7 linked regions of the Nothobranchius furzeri genome follow. The protein of the gene in region 2 interacts with the protein of the main gene of each other region in a pairwise test. Links are inferred from orthologs where the notes say so. Each region holds a gene or a part of one and is shown on either strand. Other genes may lie near its edges. The genes, in order: necab2, ntaq1, gnmt, ncoa5, capn3a, paraneoplastic antigen Ma1-like and apip.

Region 1 (3,942 bases), on a different chromosome or scaffold from region 2:
TGTGAGTTCCTATAGATTTTCTGCAACAACTTAGTACAGAAATATGAATTTTTATTCACAAAAGTACTTGATCAAACCAGTTTGAACCAGTAACCCACCAGGTATGAAGTCCTAACCTGAGACACATCAAGCACTATTTCTTAATCTTGTTGTATTTCTTAAAGTAACACCATATCTTATTGTTTTATTTAGTTTTAAACTCAGTATTTTCAATCGTTAGTTTTTCATATTTCAAGCCTAAAGAGTTAAATTGAAGCATTGTGTGTCTGAAAACAGCCTCATCTAATAAATGTTAACACCTAAACACTGGATTATTTCACAAATCTGTAATTTCTTTAAACATTTATTAATAATTTAAATTAGCTTTAGTGTAATTGTTTTTCAAGGTGTCCCTCAGGGCTTACTTTTGGGGTTTCTTCTTTCTTGTTTGGGTCACTAAAATAATGTTGTTTCTCACCAGTGGAAACTACTTATTATTCTTGCCTCCAAGAAATAATTTAAGCAGAAAATTAAAAATAAAAACCTCTATGGAACCCATAGATTCCCGTTTTCAGGAGTTTAAGGAGGGAAACCTATAAAATAGTGAATGTTTGTGTCATAAACCTCCTTCCAGCTGACAGAAGAGTCATGCTGGGAAAACAGAAACCAGCTGGTGAATAACTGGTAACGGATCAGACTGAATCCCACACAGCTGGACCGGAGTTAGCTTACCACACCAAACCGAACCAACCACAGCTGCAGCTGAACAAGCTGGGAGTGAATCTGAATCATTTTAGGGAAAGCTCCCCCCTCCGAGGACCTTCAACGTTTTAGAATACTTTCATCATGGAGGTTGAGGATGAGTGACACACGAGCCACCGGCAGGACAAGACGTGCTGAGTGATCATGAGATGCATTTTAAAACAATATTAAAGAAGATATTTGTAGAATAAAACGAGAGGATGTGATCTTTAGTCACATATTTTGAATTTGGTCTGGTTGGATTAGTCAGATTACAGGAAATCTAAAAAAAAATGTGCTTTTCAAAGACATGATCTTCTGAATAAGATGAATGTTAACAGTAGTGACCAAAGTCAGAAGTTAATGGGCAAACAGATCGTGACGACCCAAAAACTTTTTTTTTTAGTTTAGTCAGCTAAATTATTGCACAGAAACTCATCAAGACATTTTTGTGACTAAACTCTTAAATAAAGGGCAACAGGAGCTGAAAGAGCCGCACTCCAATTGAAAAGCTGCTCTGCATCTGCACCCTGGGCCATGTTCAGCTTCTCAGAACAGAGCTGGAGCTGCTGGAGTCAGGGAAGCTTGGGAAGGAGGGAAAGAGTCTCACTGAGGAGGAGGAGGAGGTGATGGTGAAGAGTTACAACAGAAAGAGACAAAAAAAACACGACTAAAGAGAAAGACACAAAGAGGAGGCATGCCTTCACCTTAGGAATATGCTTCTGTTGGAAGAGAGGAGACGGAATAATAAATGGGTTCACGGTAGACTCAGAGAAGGAGAACAAGTCGGTCTAATGAGGGAAATGCTGCATTCAGGGACACACCAGGAAGCCCATTTGGTGTAAAGTAAGAATATTGGGGTCAGATATGCTGGAAAGGGGCCAGAAAATTCACGTTTGAAAGGTCAAAGTTATGCAGAAAGAAGAAAATGTCAGAAAAAGTTCAAAGGCTGGTGTCAGAGACTCAGCTGGAAACAGTTTTAGCTGCCAGGTAGTTAAAATTTGTGTTTTTATATTCTGGTTTTACTTGTTTTATTGGCTTTAGTTTGTTGTTCTTTAACTCTTATCCTTTTTACTTCTTATGATATGCACGACTATTTTAGCTTGTTTTTTATTTATTTGTCTTTATGTCCAGCGCTTTGGTCGGTTGTAGTGCCGTGTTAAGAGCGTTCTACAAATAAAGTGGTATGGTATGATAGAGAGGAAAAAAGAAAAAAAAACGTTTGAAAAATCTTAATTTATAACAAGTTGGGGGGGGGGGGGGGAGGTCTACACAACGTGTTTCTACGTTTCTTTTCTTTTTTTCTACTGAGATCAACTCGTTTTAAAGCACAGTAAAATAAAACTGGGCTGACCTGAACACCAGAAATGCTACAGGCACGCAGTTATCACTCTGAAGGTTAACACAGGAACATGTCTGCAGCGCAGTTGGAGAGCCTCAGGATTTATGTGGACTGACAGTTAAAACGTGCAAAGTTTGAATTTTCTGATATGGTGCAGATGCAGAGGAGAGGGACGCCGGTTTGATCCCGGACACCTAAACTGTCTGTGCGTAAGTGCGCACCGCTCCCTGGATGTCTCCATGCACCCACCCGCTCCTGGCGGGGCTGGCCGCCTCCCGGTGCCTCATACTCACATCCAGAATCACCGAGATGCCTCTCCGCGGCTCGGGGGCGAAGAACTGCTCCTGGGCCACGGCCACCTCCTCCTTGCTGGAGGCGTACTCCCGGCTGGAGACGTTCTTGTTGTCGCTCATTTTGGTGACGATCCAGCGGACGAGCCCGTCGATTCCACCGGGCTGGGCGCCGCTGTTTCCGGACTGCGCTGCCGTCGCGGACTCGCTGTCCTGACCGGCTACGGGGTTCGGCTGCTCTCGGCTCTCCTGGGCTCGAAGTTTGGCTTGTTCTTTGTTCAGCAGTTTGTGGACTCCGTCCCTACAGTAGCGCGCTGCCTGCTCACACATCCTTTTGCTGCGGAGCGCTCATGCTGCGCTCTATGGGGGAGAGAGAGGCGCTCCCACCCCCACCTCCTCTTACATCACAGCATCCACCCCAGAAGCACCCGCATCCATCCTGTACCCAGTAGCATCTGAATTATGACTTAAACACTTCTGTTTGGTGCATCTAAGGATGAAGCCTTTGGACGTGCATCGCTCCTCTGGGAAAAAGCAACACAAAAGCTGTTTCTTCCCCCTTTAAGGTTTAGTGTGTAATCTGAACAAAGATGCTCTTCCTTTAGACCGCAGGAAGTGCTGCATCCCAAAGGGAGGATCAGAGGGCTTTAGCAAAAGGAGTCCCCTGAACTGTCACTCCAGCTGCTCATTAGAGCTTTATGTGCATGTGTGATGTGACAGATCTAACCTTTAGTAATGAGAGGCTCCCCAGCCCAGCCCTTTCCGGCTGCTGGAGAGACTTTTCTTCAGTCCGCCACATGTCCAACAGCACCAAGCAGCTGGTTTGGACAAATTAAGACATGCTGGGAAGTTGACAAAATAACTGAAAGGCTGTGAAGTGAGTAAAAAGACAAATAGATCTATATATCTCAGCGGCCCCATGACAGCAGGAAACTAAAACCCAGTCACTTGACATGATTGCCCCCATGTGGAACTGAGCGTGCAGTGGCAAGAGGAGTTTTCTTGCTACTGAACAAATGAATTAAACCACATTAATCACCTACATTTTTTAAATTTTAACCTTTATTTAAATGGATGAGTGGATTGAAAACTCATTCTCCTTTACAACGACGATCTGGCCAAGAGGAAGCAGCAGCAGTTAGCTTTACACCACAGACAAAACAGGTGAGATAAAATTCTGATAAAACAGTTAGGATTGTTCTCATATATAATGTGTAAAATCAGTCGAAACAGATTTAAAACTGTCTTTAAGTACTCAGAAGCACATTGATCAGAAACTATTGATCCCCATGAATTATTGAAGGTAGATAATGGATCGTGTGAACTTCAGTGATTTTTTTGCAGCGCATTCCAGTCGTTGGAAGCAGCAAACTGGAATGAGGAGCGGCCAGAGGAGGTGCGAGCTTTGGGAATAACTTTAGAGATGAAGCTACTGGAACGTAAATTGCGCTGGTTGTTGGAAGTGGAGTAATGAGCAGGGGTGGACTGGGACCAAAATTCGGCCCTGGCATTCTTACGAATTGCCGGCCCTCCCCATTGGGAGAGCGGTGGGGGTTAGGGGTGTGGCTGCCTGCGGACTCGTCTCTAAGC
Region 2 (3,551 bases):
TCCAGAGCCGCTGGTTGCCGACCCCCGTCCTGGTCAGAGTTGTTGTTGTCGCTCATGTTTGTTCTAAAGAGATGTGCATTTCTCAAAGGGACAAAGAACTCAAAAGAAAATAATCTTAAAGATTGTTTGATTGATAAAATAAAACAGGTTGCTTACTTTATCTGGATGTTGCTGTCCTGAGCTTCTTCCAGAAAAGAATTTGAAACCAAACATGCCTGATCCTCCTGTTTAAACCAGTGTCCTAACCACTCCTGCCATACTGAACACAAACATATGACAGGTGAAAGTGATTGCACAAGTTCCACCAGTCATCTATAACGGTAAATAGAACTTATACCCAAACACAAATCTGCTGTTAACTAGAATCTGCATAATTTCACCAAGTTTTAATTGTTAAAATATTCTGGAAACCAAGATTCAAATTGACACCAAAAGTTACAATTATACATTTAATTTTTATTCTATCATTGCGCTACAGAGACAGAGAATCCAACGCGATCAAAGATTAAATAAAATCTTTTTATTTCTCAGGAACTCAGGTGAAATCAAGGTGCTGATGCTCAAAGTTCTCACAGGCGTGTGTGATGAAGGATCACTTCAGTTTCCAGATGAATCTGTGACATGGCTGAAGCGCTGTCGTCGTCATGTTTCTGGTTTCCTCTGAGCTTCAGAGGCCAAGGTGAAACTCAAGAGAGGTCAAACGAGATGCAGCTCAGCCCAAAACATAAAGTTCAGTTCAATGTTTGTCTCAGTCTCTCAATCATTTCAGATTAAATGTTCATAATAACATAAAAGCTAATCACAAAACAGCAGCTGCCAGGATGCTGATCAGGATTGAGCTGATGATGAAGATGAAGAGGTGGTGGAGGAGCAACCTAAGTATTTCTGTAGAAACTGATTCAGACTGAAAACTGTCCCCCAGCCAACAGCTGGGCTCATGCTGATGAAGTCATCCAGGTTCATCTGACACCCTGAAGAGGAAATGCACCAAAAGTACAAAATCACCTTTTCCTAAGACAGGAATCAGAAAACATGCTCCACATTAACTTGATTTGTTACCAGTGGTCTTTAAAGGGGGGTAAGAGGGAGGGGGCTTCTTCCAGCTCCCATCAGGGTTCTTCATGTGAGTTCGATCAGACGCAAAGTTCAAGAGGAAGCTCTCAGCAGGAATCACACGCAACTTCCTGTCACAGATATGAGAAGGTGTTGGTGATTTCACTCCAGTGCATTACCTGTGTAATTCAGCAGTGCTACCTGTGATATTCAGGTTTGATGTGGTGGTCTGAGCGGAGGGCCTGGCTGCCATAAAGCCTCAGATTGCATGGGAATGACAGCTCTGTGTCCAGATCATAAACCAGAACCTCCGACTGAGGATCCACATGAAGCAGGATCACATGGTAGTCCTAAAACACCCAAAAAAACATGATTAACAATGTATTATTTTAATGCTCTGAGGCCACTTTAACAGGAAGGAGAATCATAGACCCAGATCACTGGATGGTCAGCGTGTCCAGACTTCTGCTTCCACAGAGGAACCTGAAGGAGAACAAATAACATCACTGATCAGCAGCAGCAGCAGAAGTCAGATCTTAGTGAAAATGTTGATTCTTTATACAAACTTGGCAAATTTAAGGGGATTCGTGATGATTTGTTAAACTTTAGACCTGTTGAGACTAAATCTGTTGAGTTAAATATGTTTAAAGGGTTTTGTAACACATGACAAACTTCTCAGAGCTGATCTTCTCACCATTCTGTTGTCATTAGAGATGAAAACCACAAAGAGCTGTTCCAGTGGAGCAGTCCTCGCTGTTTGAACAAACTCACACAACTTCCACACATTCTCCTCACTGCAAAGCAAATTAAGACATCACTAATCAAACAGCAAAAATAATCTAATAATAATAAAATCATATCCATAAGAATGTAGCAGCTACCATTTAAGCCAACTGCGTTTTGCTACAAAATTTGATGAATAATTATGTAAAACCCAACAAACTGGAGTTTTTTTTAATCATGATGTAACAGAATGGATTTACCAGTAACAGCTGGTGTAAACACAGAACTCACGACTCGGTGTGATTCGATCCTTTACTGCCTTCATGGTTCGGTGTTACACCGAAACCGCTCCGACGGTGTCACTTCGAAATGTGTCCCCATGGTTGAAAACTCTTGTCACATCAACTTCATTATAAAGAAAATTGTTTGTTTTTTGCTACAAAATTTGACGAATAATTATGTAAAACCCAACAAACTGAAGTTTTTTTCATGATGTAACAGAATGGATTTACCAGTAACAGAACTCGCGGTTCGGTGTTACACCGAAACCGCTCCGACGGTGTCACTTCGAAATGTGTCCCCATGGTTGAAAACTCTTGTCACACCAACTTCATTATAAAGAAAATTGTTTGTAGTAAATATTCTAAGAACATTTTGCAGACCCTGGTACCCGAATATTTTCGTTAAACATAGTTCCCGCTTGTGTTCAGCACAACTGATACATAAAGAAAGCTGATATTCTTAGAGATTTTATTCTTAAGAGAGGCCTTTAACCTGGTTAAACAACAGATACAACAAATATTCCCAGGCCTGCGCAGTCGTGCATTTACATGGTTATTACAAATACTTTTACTATTAGAAACAAGCTTTGTACAAAATACCCAAAAACTTGGTTCAAGTTAAAAATATCCATAATGATGAAATTTGAAGCACAAATACTTTATATTTGGGATAGTCCTAATTTCTGCCTCTGGCAACAAAACAAACAAACAAAAAAAAAAAACCTTTAGAGCTGTAATTATGTTGATAATTTTAGATAATTTTATTTCCTTTTTGAAAGCTGTAATAAATGGTCTTGTTTTTCAAAAAGGTAACCGCAACACAAACTCCTTTAAAATGAAGGCAGACAAATAAAACTACATTTTGTAGGTTTTAAAAAAAGAATCAATAATTCTCCTAGTTTTAACATACAGAGACAAATTGTAAGAACAATATATTTTATTGAAAACAATAAAATACATTTTATTGAAAACAATAAAATAAACTACAGAAAACAAAACAAAAAAAAAAGAAGAAGGTATCCTGGTAATCAGTCCATTAGGGAGGTCAGACTCCTCCCACACACACACAGAGCTGCTGCTGGTTAAAACACTTTAGGTGAAGAGCCGGATGGTGGCGTCAGCTCCTGAGGAAAAGACCCACGGCTGAGTGGGGTGAAAGATCACGTCCAGAACACCAAGATCGTGGGTGATCACATGACCTCTGAGAACTTTTACAGGTACTATCAGCGGGTTCTGAAGCAGGTCGCTGGAAGAGACGGCGGCAAGTTTTAATATCCTGTCTTTTATAAGTCTTGTTATGAATAGATTTTCAGGGTGTGTTTGTGGTCTTACTTGTAAACAGTCCCGTGACAGACGATCACCGATCCATCATCAGACGCCGAGGCAAACAGAGGGTAACCTCTGTGATAGGCCACACCCCTCACTGCTTTCTTATGGTGTCTGAAGGAAAGAAGTGATCAAAAAGCTTTATTAGAACTGGCACAATGACAAAGA
Region 3 (4,284 bases), on a different chromosome or scaffold from region 2:
GGGAAATTTTGAGCCAGATTCTCTAAATTCACACACATCCAAATCTGACGTAGTTATGTGATCTGACGTGAAATCAGAAAATGGTTTTTCAGTCCGTGGTTCGTGGGCCACAGAGAGGCTTGTGTGGGAACCAGAATCCTTCTCTTCGTGGAAAACCGATGGTTCCACGTCTCTGAGTAGACTAGTTGCTATTTCGGGTCCAGTAGCGATAAATTCAGACTCAGGTTTCCACAAAGTGGATGAACCGTCTTCTATTTCTCCATAAAAATATTCAACATCAATTCTGTTTGCTTTCAGAGAGAGAGAATTCATCCCTTCATCATCTATAACCGATGGTTCGACGTTTAAGCAAAGAGAAGTTGGTTTTTTGAGTCCAGGGCTATTAAAATCAGACTCTGGTTGTTCTACAGAGGATAAATCCTCTTTTTCTGAGTCTCCATAAAAATATTCATAAGCACTTCGAACCGCTTTAGTAATTAGAGCACCTGCTACGAACCCAGTAACAGCAAACATGGCTGTACGGGTCGTTAAGAGGTTACCGTGTCCACGCATCCTTCCAGCAAAGCTCAGCTTGACTGACTGACAAAGGTGGTGCTAGCGCGCTATTTATAGCTGCGTCACAAAGGGACGTCAGCTTGATGACGTCACAAAGGGACGTCAGCACGCAGACGTGCGTCTTCAGCATTTATGAGCTCTTGGAATCACGTGTTAACCTCAGATTTTTTCATGTTTTTTTTTACCTTAAGCAACCCCAATGACTGGTGGTTACATGTACACATTATTATGTAGATTATTACAATAAACAAAATTAATTTCACATTTTTATTAGATCTCATAACTTCCTCGTGAGCATAAAGTGGGTGTAAAACATTAAAAGCGGGTTATTTAGATTAGTAAACTAGAATCGAAGTGTTTTCAGTGTGCGTTTGTTTAACATAAGCCCGATAAAGCAGGTATGAAAAAATTAAAACCATAATTATTAACAAGTGACTTTGTCAGATATGTTTTTACGTGTAGTTATTTCTCTATAACCTCAAACACGGTCACGTTCAGCTCTCGTGACGCACGTCTCTTCCGGTTATCTTCAAAATAACTGTAGCTTATTGTGAATACAACATTTTATCATATTATTGTGATTTTAAACAAGATTAGAAACAGAAACTGAGATTAATAAAGTTTTCACCTGACAACAATCCTGTAAGGCTAAACCACGGAAACGTTCCTGTTAGACGTTAGCCACGCTGCTGACGTAAACCGGCAGGGGGAGGGCGTGGTTGCTTGGGTTCATCCAATCAGAGAGTAGGCGTGTTTCCGCCGCGGCGCGTGATTGGCTTACAGTCTGCTGGCAGCGCCGTTTGTATAAAACAACAACAGGAATCCGGGTTAGCATGTGGAGCGCCAGCCAGTTAGCAAGTCTGTAGGAACCAGAACGCCTCAACCCGAGTAAACGAACAGGTACCAACCCGACCGGAACCAGCGGCAGTATGTCGGTAGACAGCGTGTTTCGCACCCGGTCTCTCGGTGTGGCTGCCGAGGGTCTTCCGGACCAGTACGCCGACGGGAAAGCAGCCAAAGTGTGGGAGCTGTACATCGGAGACACCCAGAGCCGAACCCAGGAGTACAAGAGCTGGCTGGTGTCTCTGCTCCGCCAGCACGGGGTTCGGAGGGTTCTGGACGTCGCTTGCGGAACCGGGTAATGTTCCTCCAGATTCGCACTCGATCATCCACCCACAGAATAATCTGATTTAATGCTTAGTCAGGTACAGGTATGAAGTCTGACATGCACTGGCAGGTTGATTACAGGTGTGGCCGTGGTTCCGGGTATGAATAATCCTGCGGAACCCTTTATTAAAAATCACAAGTCATCGTGTAGTAATCGTGTTTTTACTGAAGTCTGAGAAGGAAACTCCTGAAGGATTTCCTTAAAAGTCTCCTAAAGATGCATCGATTCTGCTTTTGAGAGTAGATATCAACCAAAAACCCATTTCTGTACAGCTCAGATTGGCCGATACCGACTTTTCTCTAAATATGTTTGAGATGAACTTAAAAATTTAGTTTCTATGATTAAAAACTTAAACATGAAAATCTTTTACTGCTAGCATAAATTAGCACTTAGCAATAATCGGGTCATGAACCGGGAATAGGTCGGAATTTCTTTGCTGCTCGCAGAGATGCATTCAGGGACAAAATAAATCAGACTTTTGAGTTTCAGGCTGCTCACACAATGAGGATTCTCGGTGGTCCAAAGTGTGGTGCGTGGGCCGTGTGTGATTCCAGACTGTTGCTGCAGAACAAATAGATGTTTTGTTACAGGTTTGACTTTTGTGGAGTTTGAACTCGCTGACCCTCCTGACGCTGGACTCAATCCGGATTAGTGCTGAGAATAATGAGTGAAAGTTGCAGCTGTGGGTCCTGGTCCGCTCAGGTCCAGAAACCAGACTGACTGTCTTCTGGAGCAGGTGTTGGGCAGTTTGCAGGAGTTGTGGCTGGTTCTGTGCAGCCTGTTCGTTGCTTCTGATAGTTTATCAGTGTGGGTCAATGTCAAGGCCACAGACTCGGGATTAGTTTTTTCCTGACAGAAATGGACCTACAGCTGAAACCAGAACCACTCCAGTCATTTTCTTATTAAAATCCTTCTAGTAAACATCCTGCAGCTTATCTCATGTCACACGCTCAGAGGAAGTGAACCAGCAACCCGTCCTCAAGCACAATCCATAGTGGAGTTTCTGTCTGATCAGCAGGACGGAGCCGTGTAAACACGAGTGTGTTTGCCATTTTTATCAGTCTGAATAACTGGCGCTCCAGCTGTTAGAACCCAAACAGAACCGCTGCAGCTTTTCTGTTAAATTTCAGCTTTGATTCCGTTTGGATTTCTTCTCTGAATGGTTACAGATTACAAACGGAGAACTCTGGTTTAGTTTAGTCCTGCTTTGGGCCCGGGGTTGTTAATCATTGGACTGAGCTCTTCCTGGTCCCGGTTCTGATGAAACATGTTCCTGTTCTCCGTTTGGCCTTGGTTCAGGTTCCTCTTCCAGGTTTTTTTAGAACAACTGGTCTCTGGTTATTGGTTGTCTATTTTTACCTGGTAGACATTCCCTCCTAAAACACCGGTACCAAATCCGTTCTGAAAAGCTTCCCACGAAGACGGACACGGGTTTGGATCGAGGAGATCTGCAGGATCGCCTGTAGGAAGATGATAAATATCAAGACAGTTTATTCATCTGATTTTATAAATAATAAAAAGAAAACGCTACTCAGCAGTTATTTTAACCTGGAAGTCTGCTTTTACTTTGAAAGCCACATCAGTCATTTTATCCTGACTTGTTTTGCAGACAAGTCATTGCGTGTGTGTTAAAAGAGCTTGTGTTTGTTTTGCAGGGTCGACTCCATCATGTTGGTGGAGGAGGGCTTTAACATGGTCAGCGTGGACGCCAGCGATAAAATGCTCAAATACGCTCTGAAGGCCAGATGGGACAGAAGGAAAGAGGCAGCATTCGATCAGTGGGGTAAGAAAAACCTCCTTTAGAAAACATCTAAACCTCATCGGACCTCATGTTCTCCTCCCTTCTCCATCAACAGTAATCGAAGAGGCCAACTGGCTGACGTTGCCTGAAGATGTTCAGAAACCAGGAGATGGGTTTGATGCCGTCATCTGCCTCGGAAACTCGTTTGCTCACCTACCGGACTTCAAAGGTAGACGAACAAAGGAAATCTAACAGTAGAACGTTTCAGGTTACCAGACTGAGGGACTCCAAACATCTGGAGGTCTCCTCCATAAACCAGAGCTCAGATCCTTTTTTCTATCGAGACACGTCTTCTATAGATGACCACAACCCAACTTAACATCGTGTTTAAGAAGAAAGCAGCGCCTCTTTGGCGAGCTAATTGCATTCAGATGAACCTGGACTGGTGTGAGATTGTGAAACAAGTTTATTTAAATGTCGTTGAAGGTTCATGAAGAGGACAAGTTAACATTTTATTAAACTAGATCCAGTTCAGAAATTACGATACGGCGACCTCTACACTGGAGTTGTTATTAAACTTTATTAAAAGTAATAAAGTTTTCATTAAACCCAAACCAGATCTGGTCTGGTACCTGAAGTCTGAAGTGAAAGTCAGATCTTCCCGTGTGGCTTCTGGACTTTCCAGAGCTAGCTTGTGTCAGCATTAGTAACGCTAAGCAGAAGCTCGCTGGCGTACTACCAAAAGCTTTTCCTGATGCTGGCGTCTTCCATGCCCGGATAATCCGGCGTACGTCCTTCACCGCGCTCCTCAGCACGTCCT
Region 4 (4,042 bases), on a different chromosome or scaffold from region 2:
GAAATAGATAAAGTTCCTCACACTGAAATAATAATTTATATCTCTGAGCGACACGTTGCCACACTCCTACAGCACTGCTGGAGAGAATTAAATTATGCAAATTTGTGAACTTCACTAAAATATTGATGTTTGTATGTTTTCATTTATTTTATATTATAAATGCACTGTATAATTCTTCCTGTCATCGTTTGCAACATATTGGTTGCAGTGTAGTCTCTAAATAAAGTAAAAATTTTCCAGTGCAGAGTGGAGACAACCCATAGAAGCACTGATTTGATCTCATTTCAGAGAAAAATAGAACAGGTTAGATGCACCTAATAAATAAAATTACTAACAAACTCGGGAATCTTTCTTTGCTTCACTGTTCTGGTGCTGAGAATATCACTCATGCGGATCAAAGGAGATCCACAGACGAATGCACCTCTTATTTATTATTTGGAGACTACATTTACTGCAGCTGGCAGAGGCAGATATTTTTTCTATTGATACACGGAATTTACAGAATCATTTTAAATTTTAATAGGGGAAGACTGCAGGAGGGAGCGGTAAAATACAGGGGGTCCCCAGCAAAAACAATAAACTTTACGAGTCTGATAAAACCTGCTGGTTTTCCATCAGGCAGTCACGGGGCAGCTCCAACGACCCAGTGGCTGTGCTGGGTCAATGTTATCGAGCTCAGTCCGGCTCGGCTGTGAACGAGCCGAGGCGACGTCGTGCTCTGCTTAAGAAGAAGTGTTATTTTCCCGCTTCAGAAGAAGCGTCCAACGTGTTTTTACGCTTTCTCAGAGACATGTCACGTCGCTAAGTTGTTAGCGCCGTGCGCTAACACGTCAATAGTGCAGCGTAGCCTGCTGGAGGTTGTAAGGGTTCAGATGAAAACACCCGACCTCTCACGCTGCTCACACATCGATCTTAAGTTGTCGCTGTTGAGCTCACGCCGTAATACAGTATTAGATGCGGTTAAAGTCAGACATGAAAAAATAAATAAATTTTACATGAATAAGTGATGCTTAACCTGGTGGGGGGAGGAGAACCTGGCATAATAAGCACTGGAGGAAACCCTGTCAAGATCGTCAACACTTGTTTATCTTAATGCTACTGAAACATGTAAACCAAAAAGCATTATATCCACTGCTACCTTTCTAATTTTAAACTCAGTAACTTATGCTGTAACTTCACCTAGCCCTGCCTGCTCCTTGCTGCCCACCGGCTGTGATCACAAGCGACGACATAGTAGTTCCCGCTGCTTCTTTGGGAAACAGTGCAAAAAAAAAAAAAACTTGGGATCTTGTAGGCGTGGCGGTGGGATTTCAGCCGTGGCGGGCCGCCACGGGCTACGCCTATGTAAGGGAAACCCTGGGTTGAGTATTTGGGTCTCCCTTAAATGAGTTAAACCTCAGCCTAAACTCTTTGGATCATAAACTACATGCAAGTGCATTAGCCTTTTTATACTAGGAATCAGGATTTGTTTTTGTGATCATCTTGTTTCTTTCTTTTTCTTGTTTATTTTTGTCCTGATTGTGCCCTGTGCAATTTTATGACAGAATAAAAACCAACATTAATTTAAACATTGTCTTAAATAATCGAGATCTCAATTTCAATCAAAATAATCGTGATCATAATTTTTGCCATAATCGAGCAGCCCTAGAACACCATACCTCACAAGTTTATTAAGTTAGTGAAAATGTATTCAGCCGATGAAAATTTTTTACTCGTTTGTTGGACTCACTTCAATTGAAACGCAAAGAATAGACATTTGTTTAAAAGATCCTCTTCTCTTGAAACGGCAGAGTCCACTCCAGCGCAGGCGAGTTTGTCAAAATGAAGCGAGAAGTTTAAGATCAACAAGATCACAAATTCTTGTTGCTCAAACTCAGGAAATATTTTATTCCGAAGGTATGTAAAACGCAATTAGAAATGCTTTTAAAATAAATTGTTGGATATTTTCAGTCAAAACATCCATACAGCACAACTAAAAGAATATTCCAAAAAATAACATTAAGTTAATTATTTATGTATGTATTTATAGGGTACAGACCCTAACCATACCTTAACTTGAAGGCAGATGATCTGTATTCAGTGCCCGATGGTTTAATGGTCCAAATGCCTATCAGCAGAAAGAGAAAGAAAAGGGGGGAACAAAACTTAAATGTGGGCAAGAAGAGAAAACTAACGTTAACTTTGCTTATTTCTGGATATTTCTATAAACTCTGTAAATTATATCAATCTGTGTATGAACTCGAGTTCTAAATTTAATTAATCTACATCTTATAAAATTACGACACAGAAGTAATTCAAACAATTTTCATCAACCCACTGAAACCAGGAGATAGGGCCGGTTAATGGCCTCCGTTCATGTCCGTGGTAGTGTGTGTAGCAAATGGCGTTTCACGTGCGCCATGAACAGAGATAAGACAAATAACTACATTTACATTTTAATCGATACCACGGAACAACATAACAACATCCCATTTGCTGCTTCTTGCAGATTCATCCACGTTTGTGTTTATATTTACGAAAATGCGCCTTAACCTCGTGTAGCCTAGCATTAGCCTGCTAGCTAGTTACTTACACGGATACAAGGAGGTTAAAACCAAACAACTTTAATATTAAAATTGCTGTACCAGCTATATGAATCGCTAAGACCATTATTTACTTTATAATCGACTGTACAGCTCTCCACTTACCTTCGACGAGCAAATAATTTATATTTCGATTTGCTGTATTGACGCCAAAATGGCTAGCCGTCTTCCCCGACTACGCCGTCTATTCTGTGTATTGCGCATGCGCGAGTGTGCCGCGCTTGTAATCTCCAACGAACTACAAATAACAGGCTTGCTGATTTGGGTAGCTTTTTCTGTAGATTCCTTCAAAATTAAATATACCGCTTAGAAAATTCCAATTTTTAACGGCATAGTTAGTCTAAGGGGCAGAACGTCATAACTTATACAAACTACTCAACAACTAAAACTTAATAAATCTATGTATTTATCTGTGTTTAACAAAGCAGCTTTATTTATATAACGCATTTCAGCCACAGAGGCAATTGCTTAGCGAGGATAGCAAGAACATTAAAATAAACGTGTCAGAAAATGCAATTTAAAAGATTAAAGGGTAAGCAAATATAATGCAGAATGTTCAGCATAAGAACAGTCATTCAAAAGCTGATGAAAACATGAAGGTTTTCAATTTTGATTAGTTACTAGAGTTGTGGCACATTTGAGCTCACGAGGAAGCTGATTACATCTGTGTGTATAGTAGCAAGAAACAAGTTCACCCTGTTTTGTTCTGTCCTGAGGCTCTACCAGCTGACTACTTCATAATGTCAGAGCTGGTATACCTGATGGAGATCCAACATGCATTCTGGTCCCATTCCACAGAGTAATTTATAAAATACTTTGAAATCAATTGGTGGCGTTAACCCCCATTCCAACCCTTATTGCTGAGTGTCAAGCAAGAAAGCATCAAGTCTTTTACTCGGCCGGGATTTAAACCCCAATCTCCCAATCCCAAGGCACTCATACCACTAGACCACTGAGCTGAAACATCCTTGCATCTTGGTGACCAGCAATATCAATTTTACAATACCAATCACCCAACAGAGTGAAGGCGTACCACTGCACCTTTGCAGAGATACACTTTGAGGAACTGGTTAGAAGCCACTCACCCAATACCATGACAATGGCTGTGCTCTGGTGCAACTTAAAATAAAAAGGTTCATCTACATGAACTTTGACTTTAACAGTTTATATTTAACTTTTACTATGGATGATATACTTCTTGGGCATGTTCGTATCAGTAGAGCTGCTATCTTTCGTCGGTTGGACTTCTGCTCCTCGGTAAGGACCCAGAGGATCAGCAGTAATATCAACTCTTTTAAAACATCTTGTCTTGCTGTTTTTGTAATAATGTGTGCAATTTATGTTTTGGGAATGTAAAATTTGCTCATGTGCACTCATGTGCCAGCTAATTTAATGTATGCTTCTTCTTCTTCTTCTTCAACTTACTTGTGTTTTTATTTTCTTCTTTTGGAATTTTGAGA
Region 5 (4,291 bases), on a different chromosome or scaffold from region 2:
ACGAACAGCACAAGATGAAAAGACATGAGCTATTATATATGACATCAAGAAAGTGGAGACAGGAAGTGGTTGAATTCTGGTAAAATATATCTGCACAATCTACCAGAAATAAAATCTGAATAACAATACACATCCTCACCCTCAAGTCCCAGCAGTTAAGAGACAGATAAATAGTTTTAAAACAGAAGTCGACCCTATTAGTGGGTCGTAAGAGACAGATCAGGTTCAAATCAAACGCCTACTTCTTTGTCCGTATGGATCAACTGTGACAAATCTAGGAAATATGAGTTAAGCTCGCAATGCACAGGTGCGGTGGAATTAATTCTCTGAAAGATCATAAAGTAAGATCTCGCTTTGTTTAAAGGTGGTTTATAATATCGCAACCAATACTGCACTTTGTTAAAGTTAGACTAGAACTTCCAATACACTAGGCGTTGAGCAACATAAGTTAGTGTCATCAGCATATTGTTGAACCGAGCACATAGTACAACATGTAAGCAAATTATTAATAACAATTTTAAAAAAGGCCCCAGAATTGATCCTTGCGGAACACCCCTGAGAAAACAAACTGATGGCGATTGTGGAAAAACTGAGTTAAACCATTTTATAGCAAAGTACAGAGGCCCTGGATAACCCAGGAAAAGAGAGTTTGTCCAGGCGAAAGTAGTAATCAACCAGTGCAAATGCTTTGGTAAGATCTAGAAAAATAGCACCCGTAGCCCGGCTGCTTTCAAAACCAGAGAATATTTGTGAGTTTCAACAAAGCAGCACACAGCAGTAGCTCAGGAGGTAGAGCGGGTTGTTCAGTCATCGGAAGGTTGCAGGTTCAACCCCAGCTCTGACCAGATAATTCTGCTGTTGTGTCCTTGGGCAAGACATTTAACCCGCTTAGCCTGCTGGTGGTGGTCGGAGGGACTGGTGGCGCCTGTGCTCGGCGGCCTTGCCTCTGTCAGTGCGCCCCAGAGCAACTGTAGCTACATCGTAGCTCGTCCCCACCAGCGTGTGAATGTGTGTGTGAATGGGTGAATGCCTGACTGTGTTGTGAAGCACCTTGGGGGGTTGTAGAACCCAAAGAAGGTGCTATACAAATACAGGCCATTTACCATTTACCAAAGCAGTAGTGGAAAAAAGCGTTCTGAATCCAGATTGTAAATGTCTCATTTTTACAGTTATTATTGGATACGTTATAAATAACTGAGAGGGGGTGAAGCTAGAACATCAAAAGCTATTTTGATCAATTTATTCCCATAGCCATCTGGACCAGGCACATTACAAGAGGAACGTGCATTTGTTGACTTTAAATATTTTGAGAAAGGAAAATCTTGAGCAGCGCCGAGCAGCAGGGGCCAGGACATCTTTATTTACACTGATCCTTAGCTGAACGCTTTTTACCTCCATGGGTTTTAGGAAACTATTTATGAAAATGATCAGGGACAACAGTAAGAGATGAGCACTTTGCACCTGGAAGTGGAAGAGTCCAGCGTAGTTCTCTGAGAAGCTCTGCTCCTGAGGAACAACTCGAAACAGAAGCTTCTCATTGAGCGTCAGGCAGGCGATAGCAGCCAGCAGCCAACAGTCACCTAAACGGGAAAGAATTCAACCATTTCAGTGCTTTCAGTCTGAAAATCTCCAACTGGTCCTCTTAATGTGGCTGTAAGGACTCAGATGTGTTCCTTGGTCCTTTTCTAATAACGAGGGAAATCTTGGGACTATTTAGTGGTGTAGAAGATAAAAGCTGCTGCTGACGCTGCATGTGTCCAGGTGTGTGACAGGCTGCTCTGAGCAATGTAAGTCTTTCAACAGAGTACGGTTAACAGTGTTGTCCAGGACCTTTGTCCTGTCAGTCCCTTTGAGCCAAACAACAAAGAGAAGTGCTGCTGGTTGGAATCCCGTCTAAAAGAGTTAGCACAATATCAGGAGGCCGAGTGCAGGGGACGGACGCCGGTGCCAACCTACTTTAGTTGGCCACCTCATCCCTCACTTCACCTCCCTTTATCACCTAAAACAATCCTACCTGATTGTCACAGTTAATGAAAAAAAATGGTTTTCTGTAGAAATCAATCTGAAGATCTGATGTCTGATTAAAACAAACTTACCCAGATCTCCCTGACAGATGTCCGTCCTACTGGCTCCTCCTACAATGAACTGAGGATTCTCACAGATTTCCTGTAGGAGACGTAAACAAGCATGAATCCAGACTGCTCATGAGGCTTTAAGGTAAACTTTAGTCAAAATATAGTCAACTAGAACGATTCCTGGCTTTCCCTTCCAATCATCCAGTGCAGGATGAACAAGTATTCCAGCTCCAGCTTCTTTTATCACAAATGCCGGTTTTGAAGCTGTGCATCAACACTAGTCATTCATTCTCTCTTTAGTTAACTCCGTGATCAACATATCCCTTCATTACCCCCCTACCTTGGGTCTCTTCCAGACGATGTTCTTGACCTTGTTGGACTTGTGTCCCAGCTCCTTGAAGCCCAGAGATTCCACGGTGGCTGGGAAGGAGTCATCCTCAAACAGACCCTTCCTCTGCAGGCACTCCTGCCTCAGCGCGTTGTAGTCCTGACCGTTAAAGCGGACGGGTTTGCTCACAGAACCTTCCCCGTCTCTCCTTTCTCGTTCCCGGATCAGCCGGTCACAGAAAAAGCCAGACGGTGTGTATGGCATCTTTTCTCGAGGATTTTTTGGGGGGGAAAGTCTGGCGTTGACCACCTGTGTGAAAGTCTTACAAGCCAAAAGACTCTGGCATAAATCCAAACAGCTAATATCTGATTGGTTCCTTCTTCAGGTGACATCCCCCTCCCCTTCGTCACAGAGTAAATGTCACACGCACGCAAACGCATGTACAGATGCATAAAAGCTCACAGATCACGGTGTGCGTTTAGAGCATTCCCATTGGCTGATGGAACAAAGGTGTGTCCCTGCCTGTGCTCTGGTGCCATCATTGTTGGGTGACACAAAGGCCAGCGGGCTACACCAGAGGGCGTGTAAAGAGAGGTCAGAGGAAGTCCTGCCTCAGCAGAAGGCATTCAAGCCCTTTAAACCTGTTCTCAATGGAGCTCAGCGTCGAGCAGTCTCAGCATAACGGGAGCAGGCTGACGCTACGGGAGGAGGAACGTTCCTTTTAACTACAAATCCGGGCAAGTGTAAGACAGGTGATCACTACCTGTCTGAGAATGGACTACCAGAGAAATGAAAGCTTTGAATGATTTTTATTGGAATAAAACACACTTCAGTTCTTTTTTCCATCATTAAAAAAACAACACCGGTTAAAAGCACCAACAAATAAATTCCCAGCAGTCCACGCAGAGAACTACCTTTCATGTCTCAGGTAGAAAAACAATGGAGGTTCAGTTGTTGTGGTCGAGGTAACACGATCTCACTCAAAATCACACATCAGATCCACAAAAGCAACAGCTTTTTATGTTTGCTAATGTTGCTTAGCTGGGGTGGCCATCTTGATTCTGACTGGTTCCAAACATTAATCAGCTGTAGACGACCATCTGGTTAAGAGCCTGTGTGAGTTTCATTAAAATCCATCCAGTTTAACAGAGGAATAAAAGTCTGGGTGAGTCCTCCCTCCACAGCCAGGTGAGACGCTACATCACCTGCTTTTCAACATCTGACCAAAACATCAAGAGCAGTGGTTCCCAAAGTTAGGGGTGGGACCCCATTTTAGGTCACCAAAATCAACTCAGGAGGTCTTGAGATGATGTCCAGAAATCGCTGAAGCTATATTTCTGGCATAATTGTTACAAGAACTCAACTAAAGTGTCATAAATTGATATAAGTGAACAAGAGCTAGAGTGGTTTTGCTTACTTCCTGAATTATTTAGCTTTTTAAGCATGTTTCTCTTGTCTAATCAGATGAATCTGGGGTCACATGTCTTCATAGCTATTTTGTGGGTCTGAAGCTGGAAAGTTTGGGAACCACTGATCTAAAGCTCCATCATTAACAACATCCTAGTTTTAACTGAGTGGGTCATCTGACTTTTTTTACATCTAAAATCTACTTTTTCTTGTTTTTTTTCTGTCTTTGTCATGTTCTGTGTCCTTTTGGTCCCCAGCCCCCTCCAGTTCGCCCTCCAGGTTCCCCCCTAGTCACTTCATACTTAGTTATCCCATCCCAGTAGTTTTAGTCTCCCCATTGATTCCCCCTCCTTTGGTTCCTGTCTCTTTAGTTCCCCAAGCTGAAGATTTAATGTTTGTTCTGGTGTCTAGTTTCAGGTTTGTTAATTCTCTGTATAGTTATATTATCCAGTCAGTTTCTCCCTTTAATACAATGTGTTCC
Region 6 (2,839 bases), on a different chromosome or scaffold from region 2:
CAGAAATTATCTGACTCTTTACTACTCTTTGGCTTAAAGGTAGATGACTTTGGACTGAAGTCCGCTTTGAACTTAGAATAGTGCCCTCTCTCTTTTGCATAATGTTGTGGCGTTACCGACATGACACTTAACTGTGTTTTCAGCTCTTTGACTTCTTTTCTTAACTGTTGCACTTCGCTGCTTGTGTCTGATTTCTCTTTTTTCTTTTCTCTGGACATCTTTTTGTGGCTTGACTCTGTAGAATGAGACTGCTTACTGAGCTCTTTCAGCTTTTCTTTTAGCACTTGAATTTCGGACTGAAACTCATGTTGCTGACAATCTCTGGAGTCTGTTTCACTTGCTACTTGCACTGCATGCACGTGCTGTCTCTGTGCTGGTTTTTTCAGTTTTTGTCTTGCAGCTTCACGCTCCTCTTCTTCTCGAATTTCTTTCAGTAGACTTAAAAATGTCGGGGGATCACTTCGCTTACCTCTAAGACCTAGATGAAGCAGCATGAAGTCTTATTCAGTAGCACCTTTAATGAGTTGCTCAAGCCTTGCTCGGTTGGCTTCATCTACTTGTAGGCCTCCTTTTTGCACGACTTTGTTCAGTAATCTTTCCAGTCTCAGCAAGAAGTTAGACAAGCACTCCCCTTGTCTTTGATGCATAGCTCTGAATGTGAGATACAGTTCCTCACCGGATTCTGCGGTACCAAAGGTACTTTCCAATGCCTGTATGCAGTCCACATGGTTTGCCAGGGGATTAGACATGCGCACTGCTTGAATGATCTCCAGCGCTGGCCCTTTGAGACTCTCAATAATTCTTCGGCGTTTCTCCTTATCTGAGCACTCATACTCATCAGTCATGAACTTTACTTGTTCTAGCCAGCTATCCAAGTTGTCTTCACCAGGTGGAGTAGGGTAGACTCCTGAGAAGATTCTAAAACGACGGTATAAATTGCTTTCATTTGGCTTGGACTGCAACACATCACCTACCACCCGAATGATTGACTCAGGGCTGCTGTTCCATGGAGTTCTAGGATCACATAGTCTTTGAACATCCTCCATTGTTTTCCCTTCATCACGCAGAAATCTGTCCAACTTCTCTGTGAATAGGTCGGAGTTCGTTTCTTGCTCTGCAACAACTATTGTCCATTTACTTCCATCCTTAAAGGAAATCAACTCTGGCGGAACTTTGGTAGGATCGACTGCTTCACAGCATTCACATAACATGGTCAGGGTTTGATTATTGGCATCAAACATTTTTCCTCTTACTCTTACCTTGCCCAAGGTTTTTACTTGTTCGAGTGTTTCTTCTACTGTGGATAGGTCCTCCTCTTCAGGCACTCCGACAACTAGAATGGCATGTGCCTGATCGAGCCCTTCACCTCTGCACCAATTTGCAAGATTCGGTTGTGAGACATCACTTTTAGTGGCCATAGTTTAACAAGTTACTTTGTAGGGGGAAAAAAAAGATTAATTGAAGTTGCTTTTTAGGACCAGTGTTACTCTTAGTTACTTTAAGGTTACAGCAGATTTAGTGGTAACTTAAAATGTAGATAAAACAACAACAATCCCAGCGGTGCCTCCAAATGTGTAGCACCCAACTCAAGTAGCTCTGGATTAACCCTCGGTTAAGATGGTGATAGTACTATGAGCGGGGCCCTGGGTACATTAACTAATCTTATTGGTAAACAGGAGAAACAATGACTAACCAGTTTTAACCTTTGTGAGCTCATTCACTGAAACCGTTGCAGGCCTGATCGTTGCTTGGGCTCGTTGGGCCAGAAAACAAACAAATGGCCGCTTCACTTGATAACCAGCAGAAAACAAAACACACGTGCTCAGGTCTACTCATGAATCCTTTGGGCTAAGTGCAAGGCAAACGGAGGGGCAGTCTTGGTTGGTGACCATGCGGCCTCCACTCGGCAAGGTGGTCGGAATTAGCGGCATACCCGGGCTGCTGAGTACACTGGAACAACCACACAGAACTCCTATCCACAGCAGAAGAGTCCAGAGAATTCCTCTCGGTCCACTGTGCATTAGAGATTACTATTTAGTTCCACAGAATAAGCTGTATCTTACGTACTCGACATACATAGCTATTACAGGCTCTAAAATGCTAACATGCTAACTCGCGATTAGCACCATACATTTTAAGTACTTATACATTCCGTTTAAGCTCAATGCTAACTCCACATTCAGTACTCACTCATCACAGGGTAAAACAGTCCATAACAGGAACGTAGACTCTGCATCCACGGCTATTATTTCACTATTCTTCCATTAGCTCTGGTACACAACCTCCTCCCGCAACGTGCTGCTGCCGACTCTCACTAGCTTCGCTGTTTTTTCTTTCTTTTGCCTCACTTAGCTCCCGCCTCCCTTACGTCTGATTGGACAGTAGGTTTACATCAACCAATGGGATAAAAGAAAATACAAGATTGACAACCCAAAATGAACTTGTAAAACAACTTGAAACAATACAAAGTTTTCCTTGTTTCACATTAGATAAACCTTTAGTTTCATTGTTACTTATAACTCCATGAACACTCAAATTATGATTGACTTCTATTTATTGTGATTTTAAACACATTTTTAACCATTTGAACTCCTTGTTTTTTCAAATATATGAAATATTTACAATAAAGGCTTTACACAATATTTATATCCTTTTAACCTGTAGGGTCTAGAATAGATATTTGAGACCAGGCTACACATGTACATCTGCACACATACACTTGCACACCCCTTTGTTTCCTTCTCTGCCTTATCTTTTGATTAATCTGTGTGTTGTGACCTTGTAACTGTAGTGTAAAAAAGACATTTCAATTACAAAAACACATCTAATTGTACTCACC
Region 7 (4,068 bases), on a different chromosome or scaffold from region 2:
AGCGAATGCATGAGACCATATCTCATGCAGACTAGTCCTGTGCAGAGGAGGGAAAAAAAACAGTCAATTCATTCCGTTCCACAGAATACAGGCAAAGCCAACCTGAACAACCTGTTCAAGACTGTCTCATTTGTTCTCAGTGTGCCAGGCTCAAATGCTTTTGTTGAAAGGATCTTCTCTGTTATGACTAATAAATGGTCAGACTCCAGAAACAGATGCAGCGAACTGATCAAAAATGAGCTTCTAATAACTGTAAACTGTGACCTGTCATGCAAGGACTTTTCTCTGGCTGTGCAAAATGACAAAAAAATGCTTGAGTCAGTCAGGAGCAAAAAAAAAAATATCCATGGAAAAACTAGGTGTTGAGTCATGACATCAATTGCCTCATATCATTTGGAATCAGTTTAACTCCTATAAAGCTGTAATGATTTCGGTTCAGGTTTATTAGTTCAGTTTCTTTAAGGATACACTACAATACTACTGCTTAAATGTTGAAATGTATACATGATTTGAACAGTTTCATCAGTATCATGCGTGTTTCCGTGCAAGCTGCATATTTAGATAAAGCTCTGAGTTCTGTTGAGAGAATCTTCTCTGTTATAACTAAAAATGTTCGGACTCCAGAAACAGATGCAGCACTGAACTGATCAAAAATCAACTTCTAATTACTGTGAATTGTGACCTGTCCTGCAAGGACTTTTCTCTGAGTGAGGAAGTGAAATGTTAGTCAGGAGCAACAAAAAATATCCATGGAAATAATACACTTTGTGTCATGAAATCTGTTGCCTGATATGATTTGGAATATATTCGTTATATATGTTTGCTATAAATGTTCAAGCTGTGATTGTGTTCAGGTTTATGAAGTTCAATTTCTGTAAGGATTCACAACAATACTACTGCCTAATGTTGAAATGTATACATAATTTCGAACCTTTTACTGTTTTACTTTTACTGTTTCCCCAGTATGATATTCATGCATGTTTCCATTCAAGCTGCATATTTACATAAAACTCTTGAGATTATCCTTCTAAGATTGTGTTCTGTTTTTGTATTGGAGTTTTTCCAAATACCAAAAAATGTCCCTTATTTAATTGCTGTGAAAAAGTTGGCAGCCCTAACTCTCATGTTCCAGTCAAACTTTGCTAAATGAGATGATCCATGCTGAAGTCCCTCAGGAACCGTTTCTGGTCCACATAGATTCACCTTTTGTAATGGTTTCATCTTCACAGAATGAAACAAGAGAATATTCATTAGATTTTATCGTCTTTGGCGACCGACACGCCCACCTCGACCAGGCACGTTTTTGTTGACGCACGTTGATGACTTAAAATCAGCCGCGACGTTGGCTGTTTATGTTGTTTTGTTCAACAGTGATTTAATACCTTAATTTCAGTAAGTTTCCGTGTTCTGTTATTGGTTATCTTTGCCACGTGGACCGCGGTTTGGATTCTGCTGTTGTCAGTCCATGTAGAAATTGGGTTTGTGACACGAACTGAACAGTTGCATGTTAGCGTTAGCCGTTAGCACAAAGCTTACGTCGCCTTTAATAAAATGTACCATAAACATTTTCCATGCTAGCAAACTCACACAGTCTACATCTTAAATGTTCAAATGTGTCCAAGCATGAGTTTGGGCAATAAAGGCGTATTTGGAGCTAAATATATGTGAAATGTGCATCATAAATAGCCATTTGTTTATTCTCCCTGTGTAAAACTAGCGTCATGTTTACGTAGAAGCACTGTCAGTAAACTGCGCGCACATACCTCGTCTTTGTTTCTGTAGGGCTATACCAGAGATAACGGCTCTATATTGATCGGTTTATGAATAATCTAGGATCTAGTGAATATGGTAACTATTAGTTACGATCCTTATTTGTGAAGGTGTGTGTGAATGGGTGAATGAGACTGTAGTGTAAAGCGCTTTGGAGTCCCCTGGCTCTGAAAGGCGCTATACAAGTGTGGGTCATTTATCATCCTCATCATCATCTATTTCCCAAGTTGTTGCAGCAGGTATAATGAGGAAAGCTGGTGTGACTTGTGAAACTGAGTTCTATTTAATTTTCTAGTTTATTGAATTTCACACAGTTGCATGTATTCTAAGGCTAATTTATTTACATCTGGATGTTCATTCTAGGAACTGAAATTGAAGGAATAGGTATAGAACTAATCTGCTGTATCCTGTCTGGGAGAAAATACCATGTTTATTTAATTTTTAATTTTAATTAAACATTAAAATCACTGGACACAACTAGTGGTGAAACTGAGCAACATGATAACATATACAATGTAAAAAGATTAATTGATCATATATTCAGGAGCTAAACATTTGCATATTGGATTTGTGGCATTTGACTGCTCATCCAAAAGTGTCTGTTCTGACAAGTAGCGTTTTTCCACCGTTATGCTCAAAGTCTTTTCTGTGGAAACTGGCATCGTATGCAAAGTAGATCTTTGTGAAAACTTCCTCTGCAATGCAGGCTCACCATGCCAGGAGCTTGTTAGCCAAGTTTATGGTCATATTCTTCTCTGACTGGATAAAAAGCCAGTCAATATTAAAAATGTGGAACACACTATTTATTATTTCTGATTATAATCAGACACACTGCATTTTTCATGCAGGCTGAACATGAAAATAGTTTCCTACACCCATGTCTTCCATTAGCTTCTAGAAACTCTAGGATTTGAAAATTGTGACAGATCTGGATCACACTGTCACTTACCATTCATAAAGTCACCCAACTTGAGTTTCAAAGGGGAAGGCTGTTGTTGGCTTAGCGTCCAAGAAACAGAATGTCCTGACTAGTAAATGCTAACCTTTAGCATTAGCAACTCCATTATCCAGCAGAACACCTTCAGCCTTAAAGGTATAGCAATCAATTTTTCCTGGTTGAATCACGTCAACCATTGGTCCGCAAAAATGTCAATTTCTTTTGAAGCCAATCCTAGGTTAGTTTTCACGTCCTGCGCATGCGTACTCTGTGCACCCCCTCACTCTCATGGAAATCAGGAAGAGGCTAACGCGGTCCAGTCTGCTCCCCACAGACGCCGCTGTTGCCGGTTTTTCTGCTCGAGAGGCAAGCTAACGTTCTGCATGCTATTTTTAGAGCCTCTTATTACACATTACAGCCGGCAGCTACTTATAAACAGGTGCTGGGAGAGTGTTGTGCAATGTGGAGAGGGCGGTTCTTTCCTAAAATTCAGAAACATCGATTGCTATACCTTTAAGTTATTTGTTACGATAAAACATCAATGATGCAGAGCAAATAGTCAGTGGTAGTTGCGTTGCTATTAGTCATTCAGAGACATGATTCCAAATATCAGTAAATAAGACTCCAAATAATGCCTTGTTAAGCTCTCTGATGGTGTGGCCTTTAATTTCTTCCAGTTTTGACTTTTATTAAGCAACATTGACTGTACATTAATTAATCAAGATACACTTGTTTTAATGGTTGTGCAGGCCACCATTCAAATGGCTTTTAAATGGCACACCATTTACATGCTGCTTGGCACAGCTAAGTATGCCAGATTGTAAATGGTGCAGACCTACTGCTAGTCCCACTCAGGGAACCGTCCGTTTAAAATGTTCTCATTTTACATGTTTTGTTGACTAGCTTTAACTCTTATACACTTGACTGTTTCTCTTCATAGGGGGACATTTATGTAAGCCTCTTCATGTTTTTAAGAATAATAATATTTTTTGTTTCGTAATCGTATTAGTGGTTTTCTCTGTAATCACTTATGACACTTTTTCCAACAGCTCTACTCAGTGCAACACAAATCAAATTGGTCCAGCTGAGCAGCTTGTCCATCATTAATGGGCTGTGTTTGCCATTAGCGTTTCATGAACAATTTAAAACTGATTCACCCTCAGTTCCATCAGATGTTTTTGGATGTGTTTTAGCTCTTTGCTTCACCTCAAAACACATTACTTGTACATTTACTTCCAGCTTCTGCCATGATGCCCAAAAAAAAAAAATTCTTCTTCTTTTTATTGACTGTCGGTGAACTGAAAAATCTAACTGCTAGTCTTTATACGAGCTGTCGGCACATTAATCAGCTAACAGCGTTG

Evidence for each region.
Region 1: the proteins of ntaq1 (region 2) and necab2 interact in binary tests that used the Homo sapiens proteins (3 or more experiments, as listed by UniProt). The two-hybrid records come from large-scale screens. The link is inferred for Nothobranchius furzeri from reciprocal best matches to the Homo sapiens genes NTAQ1 and NECAB2.
Region 3: the proteins of ntaq1 (region 2) and gnmt interact in binary tests that used the Homo sapiens proteins (3 or more experiments, as listed by UniProt). The two-hybrid records come from large-scale screens. The link is inferred for Nothobranchius furzeri from reciprocal best matches to the Homo sapiens genes NTAQ1 and GNMT.
Region 4: the proteins of ntaq1 (region 2) and ncoa5 interact in a two-hybrid assay, tested with the Homo sapiens proteins (3 studies listed by BioGRID and IntAct). The two-hybrid records come from large-scale screens. The link is inferred for Nothobranchius furzeri from reciprocal best matches to the Homo sapiens genes NTAQ1 and NCOA5.
Region 5: the proteins of ntaq1 (region 2) and capn3a interact in binary tests that used the Homo sapiens proteins (3 or more experiments, as listed by UniProt). The two-hybrid records come from large-scale screens. The link is inferred for Nothobranchius furzeri from reciprocal best matches to the Homo sapiens genes NTAQ1 and CAPN3.
Region 6: the proteins of ntaq1 (region 2) and paraneoplastic antigen Ma1-like interact in binary tests that used the Homo sapiens proteins (3 or more experiments, as listed by UniProt). The two-hybrid records come from large-scale screens. The link is inferred for Nothobranchius furzeri from reciprocal best matches to the Homo sapiens genes NTAQ1 and PNMA1.
Region 7: the proteins of ntaq1 (region 2) and apip interact in binary tests that used the Homo sapiens proteins (3 or more experiments, as listed by UniProt). The two-hybrid records come from large-scale screens. The link is inferred for Nothobranchius furzeri from reciprocal best matches to the Homo sapiens genes NTAQ1 and APIP.

Annotation. Positions count from the first base shown.
Region 1 is NC_091744.1:83,491,762-83,495,703, forward strand, and holds the start of necab2 (N-terminal EF-hand calcium-binding protein 2), read right to left. Parts: upstream 2,801-3,942; 5' UTR 2,683-2,800; coding exon 2,356-2,682; intron 1-2,355. UniProt on the Homo sapiens protein: May act as a signaling scaffold protein that senses intracellular calcium.
Region 2 is NC_091759.1:9,346,619-9,350,169, reverse strand, and holds ntaq1 (protein N-terminal glutamine amidohydrolase), read right to left. Parts: upstream 2,196-3,551; 5' UTR 2,102-2,195; coding exon 2,037-2,101; intron 1,848-2,036; coding exon 1,748-1,847; intron 1,537-1,747; coding exon 1,486-1,536; intron 1,404-1,485; coding exon 1,255-1,403; intron 1,185-1,254; coding exon 1,060-1,184; intron 972-1,059; coding exon 829-971; 3' UTR 501-828; downstream 1-500. Other genes in the region: ribosome biogenesis protein bop1, read right to left, coding at 3,150-3,303, 3,390-3,497. UniProt on the Homo sapiens protein: Mediates the side-chain deamidation of N-terminal glutamine residues to glutamate, an important step in N-end rule pathway of protein degradation.
Region 3 is NC_091758.1:37,143,877-37,148,160, reverse strand, and holds the start of gnmt (glycine N-methyltransferase), read left to right. Parts: upstream 1-1,484; coding exon 1,485-1,693; intron 1,694-3,378; coding exon 3,379-3,506; intron 3,507-3,579; coding exon 3,580-3,693; intron 3,694-4,284. UniProt on the Homo sapiens protein: Catalyzes the methylation of glycine by using S-adenosylmethionine (AdoMet) to form N-methylglycine (sarcosine) with the concomitant production of S-adenosylhomocysteine (AdoHcy), a reaction regulated by the binding of 5-methyltetrahydrofolate.
Region 4 is NC_091743.1:58,541,034-58,545,075, forward strand, and holds the start of ncoa5 (nuclear receptor coactivator 5), read right to left. Parts: upstream 2,801-4,042; 5' UTR 2,688-2,800; intron 2,108-2,687; 5' UTR 2,050-2,107; intron 1-2,049. UniProt on the Homo sapiens protein: Nuclear receptor coregulator that can have both coactivator and corepressor functions.
Region 5 is NC_091758.1:17,065,434-17,069,724, reverse strand, and holds the start of capn3a (calpain-3), read right to left. Parts: upstream 2,801-4,291; 5' UTR 2,668-2,800; coding exon 2,416-2,667; intron 2,167-2,415; coding exon 2,097-2,166; intron 1,581-2,096; coding exon 1,462-1,580; intron 1-1,461. UniProt on the Homo sapiens protein: Calcium-regulated non-lysosomal thiol-protease. Proteolytically cleaves CTBP1 at 'His-409'. Mediates, with UTP25, the proteasome-independent degradation of p53/TP53.
Region 6 is NC_091745.1:26,674,385-26,677,223, forward strand, and holds paraneoplastic antigen Ma1-like, read right to left. Parts: upstream 1,419-2,839; coding exon 501-1,418; downstream 1-500.
Region 7 is NC_091749.1:48,967,922-48,971,989, reverse strand, and holds the start of apip (methylthioribulose-1-phosphate dehydratase), read left to right. Parts: upstream 1-1,268; 5' UTR 1,269-1,392; intron 1,393-1,915; exon of another isoform or gene 1,916-2,009; intron 2,010-2,025; exon of another isoform or gene 2,026-4,068. UniProt on the Homo sapiens protein: Catalyzes the dehydration of methylthioribulose-1-phosphate (MTRu-1-P) into 2,3-diketo-5-methylthiopentyl-1-phosphate (DK-MTP-1-P).